Struthio camelus: one gene and its partners. The protein of the gene in region 1 purifies or fractionates together with the protein of each later gene. This does not show direct contact. Links are inferred from orthologs where the notes say so. Each region holds a gene or a part of one and is shown in the gene's direction. Other genes may lie near its edges.

Region 1 (3,743 bases):
GCTTCCAGGACTGGCTGACAGTGACACACATGCATTGTGATTTTGCACGAAAACACGTTCAGCTTGCTGCATGACCTCATCCAGACAGACTATACAATATAACCAAGTCAATACACTATGTAATTTAGTCACATAAATCTATCACTGATTTGAGATGCCGCAAGCAGGAGGCAAGGGAATGAATTAGCAGTACCAAGAGCATAGCGGGCCAGTGGGGGAACTACAGCGAGCCACCAGGCCTGCCATCCTCCGTTCCGTACATACGTTAAATACCTTAATTTCCTTCACCTAAATAGACCTTCTAACAATTAAAAGAATGATCCAAGTCAACTTGGCACAAGCCCTTGAGGTGCTAGTGACTTCCCAGTACTTCAGCTGCCTTCATTTAATCTTCAGCTAAATGTCATGGCGGTAGCTCCCTGTGCCACGAGCACAAACCTCCATCAGAGTCTCTCCTGGAGACTCAATTTTTCATTCACGTATTCTGTAAAATTGGTAGATCAATGAGTACATATGAGAAAAGGCTTCTGCATTCATTTCCAGTTATTCTGCGTGACTGCTAGGCAAGGACTGATACTGTCTGTTCTGTTCTGTAACTGTACCACTGTCATCGGCTCTGGGATTCTGCCTCTATCCTTGCTTTAGCACAGGACAAGTAGCAGAAATATACTTTTCAGTCGCTGCGTTCACTGACGCAGCGCTCCTGCCTTTGTGGGAGCAAAGACCTTATGTGAGGCAAGATCTGCGCAGCCACAGCCTGACGTGCCGCGTTCTCTAATCCAGAGACTTCCGTAAAGAAAACGCGGGCAAAATTTAAAAAGCGCCTTCAGGATCGGAGAGAGCTATTCCGCAACTAGGGGAACGGATGAAAAAAAGATTTCTTTAAAGGCCGTGCCTTCTTTTTGTGGGTCGTATAGTTCACACGTACGCAAGCGTCCGCCGGTTGTCTGAGGGGGTGTCGTGCGACTGTCTGACCCTGGCTACCGAGTCAGCCAGCTCCGAAAGCCACTTCAGGGATCCCTTTGGAGGGTGCAGGCGCCCCGCTGGCTCCAAAGCCTCTTCCCAGCGTGCCTGGCTGAAGTGGCCTCCTTCAGGGGCACTTTGAGAAATATTTACTTGCTTGCTTCAGTTGCTGTGGCACCTCTGCCGGGCGCGGTGGGCAACCACGGATCGGTGGAAAATTAGGTTAAATACAACTTACAGGGATTAAGTAACAGTAGTCTCACCCTCTCCCCGTCGGCTCTCCCCAGATCTCCTTGTGGCCTAGACCTAACCTAATTCTTGTTAAAACACACCCCGGTGCCGGGGAGCCGGCCTCGGCGTGAGGAGCCGCGTGAGGCGCCATGGCCGCTCCGCCCCGCCTCGGCCGGGGGGGTGCTGAACTACAACTCCCGTCGTGCTCTTCGGGGAGCGTGGCCGGGAACAACCTCTGCGCTGATTGGCTCCTTCCTTCCGCCCTCCCACCACTCAGCTGTGCCGCTGGAGGGGGGACGCGCTCCCGGCGCGTGAGGCGGGTAGCGGCGTCTCGGGAGCCATGGAGCAGGAGCGGGGGGAGGTGAGAGGCGTTGGGCCGGGCCGGACTGGACTGGACTGGGGGCTCCTCCGGGGCCGGAACCGGGCCAGGGGAAGGCTGCCGGTCTCGCAGTTGCGATGCGGCCTGCCGGGTGCTGGGCGAAGCCCTGGAGCAGCGGGCGAGGAGGCTTGGGCCACGCGGCGCCCTGAGGAAGGGGGCGAGGCCTGGGCTGTGGTGGCGGGGTAACGGCTGTGGTGGCGTACTAACGGCTGCCCGGAGCCGGGAGGAGCGGGCATCTTCCTCCTTCTCCTCCTCGTGGCCGCCGTATTGTTGTGGTAACCGACGTGGCTCTTCGCCCCGCCTTCGCGCTGCCTGGGGCCGGGCTGCTGCTGTTGGGGGGGGGGGGGGGGGGAGCTGGGCCCGTCCGGCCCTGGGCAGGACGGGCCTTTGCGCCCGGCTCGCCTCGCTTAGGAGATGGGGTTACGGGCGGTGCTGTCCTCGCTCGTCAGCTCTGGGAGTTTTCAGTCGCGTTTAATGGAAGAGTAACGGTCCAAAGATACTCGTTTCTTATGAGCTGAATGAAGGTGAGCGCTGTGAAAGGGGCAAGAAGGAGACGAATGTGCTTTTTGAGAGAGTCTAGCCCCTTTTAGGCATCAGGAACACTGCCTGAGGATGTGGACCTGCAGGAAAGCAGCCCTGATGTTCAGGGAACAACCTCGGTGGCTTCGGTTTGTTTTTTTTGTGAAAGCAAGGGAGGATATGGGGAGACAGCAATGAATGAAGTCTGTTATCTTCCTGTTTATGTCTCTGTAATACTACCCAGGAGCCAGGAACTAGTGGGAATTTAGCACTGGAAAGGGATGGATTTGCTGCTGATCCTTAGTTACTGCCTACTTGGATGAACAACTGTCTCCTGGTCCCTCACGTTGCTGCTCTAATCCATCTTTCTCTTCCCTCACTGTCTGTGCTGATGCTGACTTTTTGCTGCTCGTTCCTGAACTGCTAACACCTTTTCCCAGCTTTTTTTTTTGCCCTTTTTGGAGTCCAGTTCAGGATTCTTCTAGTTGGAAAAGTAGTCATCGGACTTCTGAGGCTTTTCATCAATCGCTACCTCTCTGCCCTCTTGCTGTAACAGGTTGAAACCTATCTTTGGATTGGATAAATTAGTATGAAGAGCTTGTGAAGATGTGTAGATACAGACAGATCTAGTTATAGGGAAAGACTGTTAACAAAAGTTGTTCTGTCTTCCTGCTGATGCAGCTTCTGAACTTAGGTCAGCTCTGGACTAAGTCATTTCCATAGAACATGAACTTTCTCTAAAGTCGAGTTTGTTCTGCTGACACCCAAGTTGAACTGATTTTGTGGGCTATGGTCACCAGAGTTTGAAGTTTTGTCCTCTGTGCTGGAAGCTTGTGGTGACCTTGGTTTGTTATTGTTGATGGTGTCTGCTCTGCTGTGCTGCTGTTGGGAGAGACAGTGCCTGGAAGGGCATAGTCTCATCTCTTTCTCGAGCCTTTTTCCATGTAGCTGCAGCTCTGTGGCTGTGTTTGTTTGCCCTGTGAAAGCAGAATGCATCACATGAAATACTTGTGAAGGAACCTGTGTGAGGGGGGAATAACTTCCTTGCTATGGGTTTGAACTCTTGCCTCTGGGTTTGTTACATGGACTCCTCGCTCACCGAGACCTATCCCTGGTTCGGGAGGTCCTGGCAGCGAAGGCAGGCTTGTTGTGGGGTGAGGTGTAAAATGCCTGTTTTAAAGCAGACTGGTTCTCTTGCTAGTTGGTGTCTCCCTTCCGCCACAAGACTTCATCTTTGGAGCGGATGGAGGAGGAAGATGATGATGAAGATGATGAATTGGACATCTTTGGAGGTTACGACAGCTTCCGGGGCTACAACAGCAGCATGGGCAGCGACAGCAGCTCATGCCTGGATGAGTCTAGTGATGATGAGGTGGTGGATCGGGAAGCTGGAGAGCTTCCGACCTCCCCTGTGCACCAGCACCAGCCGTCCACAGGCCGACTGACAGAGGACAGTGGCTCTGAGCCAGGTACTGTGCTGCCTTCCCATTTCTAACGCATATGTGTGATAGAACAAGGGCTGGAATTTTTGCTGAGGGAAGCCAAAGAGCATATGACTGTATCTTGAGTATGGTTTGTGAGCAGAACTGGGTTGAAACTGCACTTTCTGGGTTACCTGGGGGAACTGCTAGGTGCAAAGAGGGTTACCTGG
Region 2 (3,743 bases), about 23 Mb from region 1:
CAAAAATTGCTCTGATCACTGTGATGCTGACCAATATCATCCCGTTGTCTGCCAGTACTCTGCCATCTACCTGTATCTGACTGCTGCCTTTTGTTACGTACTTAGGACATGTGCTCTTTGTTCTGTTTGTACAGCATCTTGCAAAATGGCATCCTACTCCGTGACTGGGGCTCCTGTGCACTGCTGTAACACAGGTAACAAATAATAGTGTTTTGTTTCATGTTACTGTGTTGCATGTGAACCACGTTGTACTTCTGCACTTTTAAGTACAAAGGCCAAGCATTACATGTGGATACTAGATAACACCGTTATCTTCTGATTTTGTATCAGCACCTATCACATTCTCCCTGTGCCTCACTGGCCTGCGTGGTTTCTAAGCAGACCCCCACGAAGCATTCATTTTATCTCCTTTCCCTCCTTAAACCAAAGCACGGCCCGGCAAAAATTTCTCTGGAAAGGAGAACGAGGCAAACGAGACGTTATTGCAAACGTTATTCTGTGCTAACAGAAACGCGGTCTCAGCGGGAAAGCAGCGCCGGCCGGCACGAAAACACGCGAATGCCGCATCGCTCCTGATTTGGCCCGGGACGCTCCCTCGCGTCTCCCCGACGGGCAGAGCCCCGCCGCCGCCGCCGCCCCTTCCCGCAGCGAGGCCCGGCCGCCCGCCCGCCACAGCGCCGTGCCCCCGCCGCTCGCCGGCCCTTGCCCGCTCCGCACCCGCCGGCGGCCCGCGGCCTGGGCCGCAAACCCTGCGGAGCAGCACGGCGCCGCCGGGAAGGGCGGCGGGGCGGCGGCGGACCGCGCCGCGCCCGGCCTACCCCAACACCGCCGCCGCCATGTGCCACCAGGCGGCCGGGCGCCCCGCGGGACAATGGCAGCGGCCGCCGCCGGGCCCGGCCCTCAGCACGCCCCCCCCCCCCCCCCGCCGCCATGCCGCGGCCCCTCCCGCCGGCGGCGCCCCCAGCAGCCCCCGCGGCGCCCGGTCCCTCCGCCGCCGCCGCCCGGCCGCCACCGGCCGTTGCGAACCTGCCGCCGCGCGCGGCCCGCCGGGCGCCGCGGCCTGCGGGCGGCCGCTGGTTGGCGGCGGGGGGACACGTGAGGGGGGAGGGGGCAGCAGCGGCGGCGGCGGCGGCAGGAGTTTCCCCGACAGCTGGAGGTTGCGGCGGCGGCTCCTCCTCCTCCTCCTCCTCCTCCCCCCCGGGTCCCCGCTAGAGACAAGCGCCCCCCGCGCTCCTCCTTATTGACAAATACACAAAGGGCCGCGCCGGGCCGCGCCGCGCCGGGGGGACGCGTCTGGAGCCGGCATGGGAGACAAGAAGAGCCCGACCAGGTAGGGGCAGCGCCGGGGCCCGGTACCGCGGAGAGATGGCGGCCGGCGGGGCGCTCCCGGGGGAGGCGGCGGCGGCGGGGCCGGCGTGACGGCGGTAGGTTTCTCTCCCCCCCCCCTTTTCCACCCCCCCCCCCCGGCCCCGCTGTGTGCGTATGTCTCCGCAGGCCGAAGCGGCAGCCGAAACCCTCCTCGGACGAGGGTTACTGGGACTGCAGCGTCTGCACCTTCCGCAACAGCGCCGAGGCCTTCAAGTGCATGATGTGCGACGTGAGGAAGGGCACCTCCACACGGTGAGTGCCCGCCGCGCCGCGCCACGCCACGCGGGGAGCCGTTGGCCGGGCTCCCCCCTCCTCCCCCCGGCCACCCCGCGCCGTGAGGGAGACCGGCTGTGACAGGAATGAGGTCACGTTTAGCGGGGAGCCCCGGGCTGGGGGCGGGGGGGGGGGGTCGCAGCGAGACTTCGTCTCGCTGCGACCCCCCCCCCCGCCCCCAGCCCGGGGCTCCCCACTAAACATGACCCCAGGCAGGCCCCGCTCCTCCGTGCGTGGACTGCGGCCCGATGAGATTTACTGACTGGAGAGAGGGTGGTGTAACCGTGTCTCCTCCCCGAGGTTACCGCGCTGTAACTGCCGGGAGAGGAGCGAAAAATAATAATAATAAAAACAACAGCCAAAAAAATAATAGTCTGTACAGCCCAAACATTTGCAAGGCCGTGCCCCTCGCAGAAGGGAAGAGCCATCCCCCCCCCCCCCCCCTGCTGGGGCATGGTTGGTTGGTTAAAACCCTCACCTGAATTAATATCTCTTTTTTCTTCTTCTAAGGAGTTTAACTTCGTCTCCCTAAAATGTCATTTATACCCCCCTCCTCTTCACCCCCCCCAACCGGCTGCTTGCTTTCATCCACAGAGCTATTTTGCTCCACCATGCAGATTTTGGTGGCTGTAGAGATGGATAGTGACTCTTGGCTGTTTCAAAAGGAATTGTGAATGGGCTGAGTTGTGCCGTGTGGAAGTGGCACCCTGAAAAATCAGTGACTTCCCAGGAAGGGCCTTTTTTTCTGTAGCACCCATTTGAAAGCTTGCAGTGAATTAACTGGTTCCCATGTGTATCTGTATTGTTCAATAATATGGCCTAAATGGACGCGCTTGGGGAATGGAGGATTTTTATAAAACCAACAGGACTGCACTTGTAGTCTTTGTGTGCTGACAGAATATTATTAAAGAATCCTTTGTGGTGATTATCATACCTATTGGCTAATCCTGTCAGCAAGAGAAGTTTAAGTGGCAATAAAAGTTGCAATCCTATCAAAAACAGCAATTACGTTCTAAATATCATTCAAAGCAATATGGAATATGAATTGCAACAAATGTATGTTTAAAATCAAAAGTGCAAAGTTAAGTCAAATTATTTTACAAGTAAGATTCTGCTTTATTTCTAACACCTATTTCCTAGACTTCTGAAAACCTGAATGAATGTCCAAAGTACTTCTGATAACTTAGTCTTGAATGCTTGTTGATTTTTGTTTTTTTTTTTTTTTTAATAATAAGGGAATCGGTGAGATAAATGTGCTAAGAGGAACTGTATCTGTCACATATAGCATGGTTTATGTCAAGACTGGCTTTGCGTTTGTGTCATGGATAGGTCTGTATGGATCGATAATATTCAACAGAATAACACTGCTGAAAGAGTGAATGCAAAATCTTTAAAACAGCAGAGATGCGAGTAACAACCTTTTTTTAAACACTACTCAGTTGCATTGGCAAAGTCAGTTTAAGATAGTGTTTTGTCCCACTGGGAACTCAGTGAGATAAAAGCACTAAAACTTAAAAATCTTCGGAATAAATAAGTAGATAAACCAGTTGGCCTTTTCCTCTTGAATGTTTTGGGAGCAAAATATAGAGCTTGAATTTTGGTGTCTCTTTCCTCCCCCACAATGTTCTCGTACGCAGAGTTTTAGCTGGTGCGTTGATTTTTATTTTTCTACTCAAACTCCGCAACAAATGTGTAGCTGACTAGGTTTATGTTTTTTTTTTTTTCTTGTAAGGTTTAAATGGGTCACATTTTCACATGTGTGCAAAGCCCAGGATTTACACATGGCATGAGATAAATACAGGTTGTGGTTTTAGACCAGGCAATTTTAAGCTCCAAATCTGAAACTAGATTTGAGCTAGTAAGTAGACCTTTGTGTCTCTGGAGAGAATCATTTGTGTCTCCCTGGCACCTTAAAGACCATTTGGGTGGACTTTTTTTAAAAGGAGCTGGAGTCCAAAAAACCAAATTGGGTCCCTGTTAAAACATTTGCTCATATTGCCTGTGCAATGAAGTGTTTTTCGTCAATGTTGTTCAAAATAGCAACGCTGTGGAGTTTAGATGGGAATTAATTTTTTCCAGCCTACCATTTTTAAATTTAATGT
Region 3 (3,743 bases), about 100 Mb from region 1:
TTTTCCCCTAAGAATTGAGGTAATAAAGGGAGACGCATGCAGGGACTTAAGAAATATACACAGTTTAAATACACTGACACAGTATATATGGCACAGAAGATGGAGAGCAGCATCAACAACTGGAGGAGATGCTGGCTTTTTTGAGTTGTTGTGTGTGTGTTTTTTTTTTTTTTTTTTGGCTGAGGCTGGTTTTGTTGACTGGAGAGCTGACAGCTTACTGGCCTGAGATTTTGAATAGTAGCTCTCTTAATGTAGTTGAATCTTGCAATACTGCTGACAGCTTTATCTACCTGTTCTTGGAATGGGTCACCATGCAGAAAGATCTCAGCTGCTTCACCTGAGGGTCAGCTCTGGGCATTCAGGGGCAGCACTGGGGAGGTCTGTGTCTTCCTCAACAGTTACGTTTCCAATATGATTATCTTTTCAGAGGCTCACTGCTCTTCAAGCTCAGTCAAGAATGAAGAATGGAAAAATGGGTATAACCCCATTTTAGTTAGCAGAGCAGGGTACTAAATCATCAGCCATGGAACCTGAAAATAGTGAGTGACAGGTAGCAAGGTGTTACTGTAAAGGAAAAACTTGGACTGTGGCTACATTTATCAAAAGAATCAGAGTAACTAGTGTTTTCTCATTGTTAGAAAACACAACTCCAAGATTTAAAAAAAAAAAAAAAAAAGTGTAAAAGAGGTAAACTCAGTGTGAATCTAGTCAACTGATGAACCTTCTCTGGGGACTGTGACTGATTTTTCGTTCTGTTTTTATATAGTAGCTCTCCTGGTAATGTCTTTTATTCACGAATAGTCGTCTTTCCCAGGCACGATCAGGAAGTAGCACAGTTTTTGAGAAAGAAAGAATCTTTTCTTTCCTGCTCCCCTCTTGACTGTGTTACGATAACCTTATCATACACACTTGGTATTGCATGCAAAAGTTGCTGAGCAGCTCCCTCCCTCAAGCAGTCTTTTATCTGCACCTATAACCAACACAGCTTTTGAAGCATAAGGCTTTGCCTTTGCTAGTTTCTACCGTTATTGCTATGCCTTTATAGCTCCTACTATGCATGCTGAAAGTTTTTTGCCAAAAATTACATCTTTGTTGTATAATTACATCACGCAGCCCTAGCTAACAAACATCTTTTCTGCTGCTGTAGCTGCACGCGCGCTTGTCTTTCTGCTAGCATATAGAGTATGTGGAGGTTTCACATCCTTAAGTGCAAGAAATCATGCAGGCTGATTCTTTAGGGCGGATCTGGCCTAATTCAAGCACCACAGCAGCAGCTGTGTAACAGGAAAATTTTTCCCTGCAAGTGCTATGAAATGACAAGCTTGGAATGGATCAGCCTCAGTGAAGTTGCTCAAGTAACAGCAGGACAAGAAGCGATGAGGAAGCACCGGCAGGATGTTGTGGCAACTAACCACACCGTGCAAGCCGGCTCCAATTTAACAGCGTCATGGCACCCGCAGCCCCTGAAACGCTGTCAGCCGGGGCCGGGGAACGCTAGGGCTTCCCATCGGCCGCGGGCGAGGAGCGCGGAGGCGAGACGCGGCGCGGGCTGCCTGCCTCCCTCCCTCCGCGAGGAGCCCGGCGGCGGCCGGGGCCGAAGAGCAATCTCGCGCCGAGGCTTCCCGCGCGCTCGCTCCGAGCGCCGCAGGGCGGGCAGTCCGAAGGCGCGAAAATCCCGCGCATGCTCCCTCCGCCCACGGAGGGGCGGACGGTTGCCTCTAACCGCTCCGCGTGTGCCCGTGCAAGGCACGCTACACCCCCGTGACGTCAGCGCGCAGCGTCACGCCGGTGGGACGCACAAAAGTGTAAGTTTCAATTTTTTTTTTTCCTGCCAACGGGGGAAAGGAAAAAAAAAAAAGAAAGGAAAGAAAGAAAGAAAGAATCGCAGGGTCGCGCGCGCGCGCGCGCGCGGGACCCGGGGAGGGGCCGCGGTGCTGGCGCCCCCTCCGCGCCCCCCCCACCCCCCGCGGCAGCCCCGGCCAGGGGAGAGCGCGGAGGGCGGGCGGCGCGGAGCCCGCGCAGGTGTGCGGGGCCGGGGGCGGCCGGGCGGGCCCGCTCGCACCTGGGGGGGGGGCAGGCGGCGGCGGCGGTTCGCCGGGAGCCCGCCAGGCCGTTGACCCGCTGGGGCAGGGGCGGTCTGGGAAGTGACAGGCGGTGAGGCGAGCCGCCCCCCCCATGTCCCCCCCCCCCCGTGCTCTCCACGCCGCGCCGCGCCGCGCGAGGAGGGGGGCGGTCCCTGCCGGCCCCCCCTCCCCGCCTGAGCTACCGTTGGGGACCGTTGGTCGTCTCCCCCCCCCCCCCCCCAAGTCGCTGCCGCCGGCTGCCTCCTCCCCTGCCCCCTCCCGCCGGGCTCGCCAGGCCCGCGCGCGCCGCCGCCGCCGCTGCCGCACATGTGCAGTTCGGCGCCTCCGCAGCAGCGCGGCGCCGGGCGGGGGGTGCTCCTGCTCCGCGCTCCGGGTCCCTGTCTGGGGGCGGCGGCGGGGGATGGAGCCGGCTCTCTCCGCCTTCGGCCGCTCAGGTGCGGGCAGCCCGGGCCGGCCTGCGGGAGGAGGAGGAGGAGGATGGGGATGATCCGAGGGGGGTGTTGGGGGGGGGGGGGAGTTGGCGCCAGGCGAGGTGCTGCCGGCGGCGGGGCGAGGAGGATTAGGAGAGGACGGACCCCCCCCCCCGCCCGCCTGCTGCCGCCTTCCCCCCCCCCCCCCCAAGCCGCTGCCGGCGATGCCGCCTCGCGCGCGGGCGCATTTCCCCCCTTCCTCGTGCCCCCGCCGCCGCTGAGGCGATTAGCGCGGCCCCTCGCTGCTGAGGGGAAGGCGGCGCGGGGCTTAGGGCTCTGCCCGGGCGGTGAGGCCCTGGTCGGGGGGCATCGAGGGGGCGGTGGGGGAGGCGGGCGGGCGTGCTGGTGCCCGAGGCGCGGTGGCAAGTGCCCGTCTCTGCCTCTTGGTGCAGCCGCGGCCCGTCCGCCCGCGAGGGGAGGAGGAGGAAAGGGGGGTTGCGGAAGGCCCCGGGGGGAGCTGGCCCCTGAGGCCTACTTGTGCCTGCTGCTGGAAATGGGGGTGGGGAGGAGGAGGAGGCCGCCGAGGGAGTGATCTCTTCTCCCCGTCGCTTCTGCCCGCGCCCTTCTCCGCGGGGTTGCAAAGGGCGCAGCTGGACAGGGACCGGCCCAGCGTGGGCTCCGGCTGCCCTGCTGGGATCGGGTATGTGCTGGGGGAAGGGCGCTCCTGCCAGCGGAGAGCTCACCCCAGCTGTAGGATAAGGGGTATTTCTAAATGTGAGTTTGGGGTGGGGGGCACTAGGGGGTTATTTGATGATGACATAAAACTTTTTCTTCTTAAAAACATTTTTTTTTAAAAAGTAAAATGTATTTGGTGGTATTCAGTAATTTCCACGGTAAAAACTTTTCCCCCTTTCGTTCTTGTAGCTGATGTTGTCTTTACTTACTTTCTAGAAAATAGCATCAATTGTCTCTGTGTCCTGCAGCCATCAAGATTTGAAGAGGATTGATTTCTAGTCTTTGGTAACATGGCAAAAGATGTAAGTATGTTTGTAGTATGTCATATGCGGAGGAATAGCTAATATATTTTTGCTTTTGTTTTTACTAGCAGAAGGAAAGCAATTTATGCTTTACAGTAGCCGGCATTAGTGGATTTGTGGAATATACTTTTCCTCTGTTATACACCACGCTGAGACTGTTTTTCTTCAGATGTTACAACATAAAGCCAGCTTTATATCTGCAGCCATTTTTC

The links.
Region 2: the proteins of L3MBTL2 (region 1) and YAF2 purify together in Homo sapiens (affinity purification with mass spectrometry; 5 studies listed by BioGRID and IntAct, counting the BioPlex papers as one, with this or other methods). This does not show direct contact. The link is inferred for Struthio camelus from reciprocal best matches to the Homo sapiens genes L3MBTL2 and YAF2.
Region 3: the proteins of L3MBTL2 (region 1) and TFDP1 purify together in Homo sapiens (affinity purification with mass spectrometry; 4 studies listed by BioGRID and IntAct, counting the BioPlex papers as one, with this or other methods). This does not show direct contact. The link is inferred for Struthio camelus from reciprocal best matches to the Homo sapiens genes L3MBTL2 and TFDP1.

The regions. Positions count from the first base shown.
Region 1 is NC_090942.1:56,935,222-56,938,964, reverse strand, and holds the start of L3MBTL2 (lethal(3)malignant brain tumor-like protein 2), read left to right. Parts: upstream 1-1,443; 5' UTR 1,444-1,534; coding exon 1,535-1,555; intron 1,556-1,893; exon of another isoform or gene 1,894-2,091; coding exon of another isoform or gene 2,092-2,097; intron 2,098-3,293; coding exon 3,294-3,561; intron 3,562-3,743. UniProt on the Homo sapiens protein: Putative Polycomb group (PcG) protein. PcG proteins maintain the transcriptionally repressive state of genes, probably via a modification of chromatin, rendering it heritably changed in its expressibility.
Region 2 is NC_090942.1:33,985,575-33,989,317, reverse strand, and holds the start of YAF2 (YY1-associated factor 2), read left to right. Parts: upstream 1-1,087; 5' UTR 1,088-1,304; coding exon 1,305-1,330; intron 1,331-1,428; coding exon 1,429-1,620; intron 1,621-3,743. UniProt on the Homo sapiens protein: Binds to MYC and inhibits MYC-mediated transactivation. Also binds to MYCN and enhances MYCN-dependent transcriptional activation. Increases calpain 2-mediated proteolysis of YY1 in vitro.
Region 3 is NC_090942.1:156,568,422-156,572,164, reverse strand, and holds the start of TFDP1 (transcription factor Dp-1), read left to right. Parts: upstream 1-1,590; 5' UTR 1,591-1,805; intron 1,806-1,971; exon of another isoform or gene 1,972-2,022; intron 2,023-2,210; exon of another isoform or gene 2,211-2,518; intron 2,519-2,596; exon of another isoform or gene 2,597-2,841; intron 2,842-2,856; exon of another isoform or gene 2,857-3,268; intron 3,269-3,445; 5' UTR 3,446-3,519; coding exon 3,520-3,531; intron 3,532-3,743. UniProt on the Homo sapiens protein: Can stimulate E2F-dependent transcription.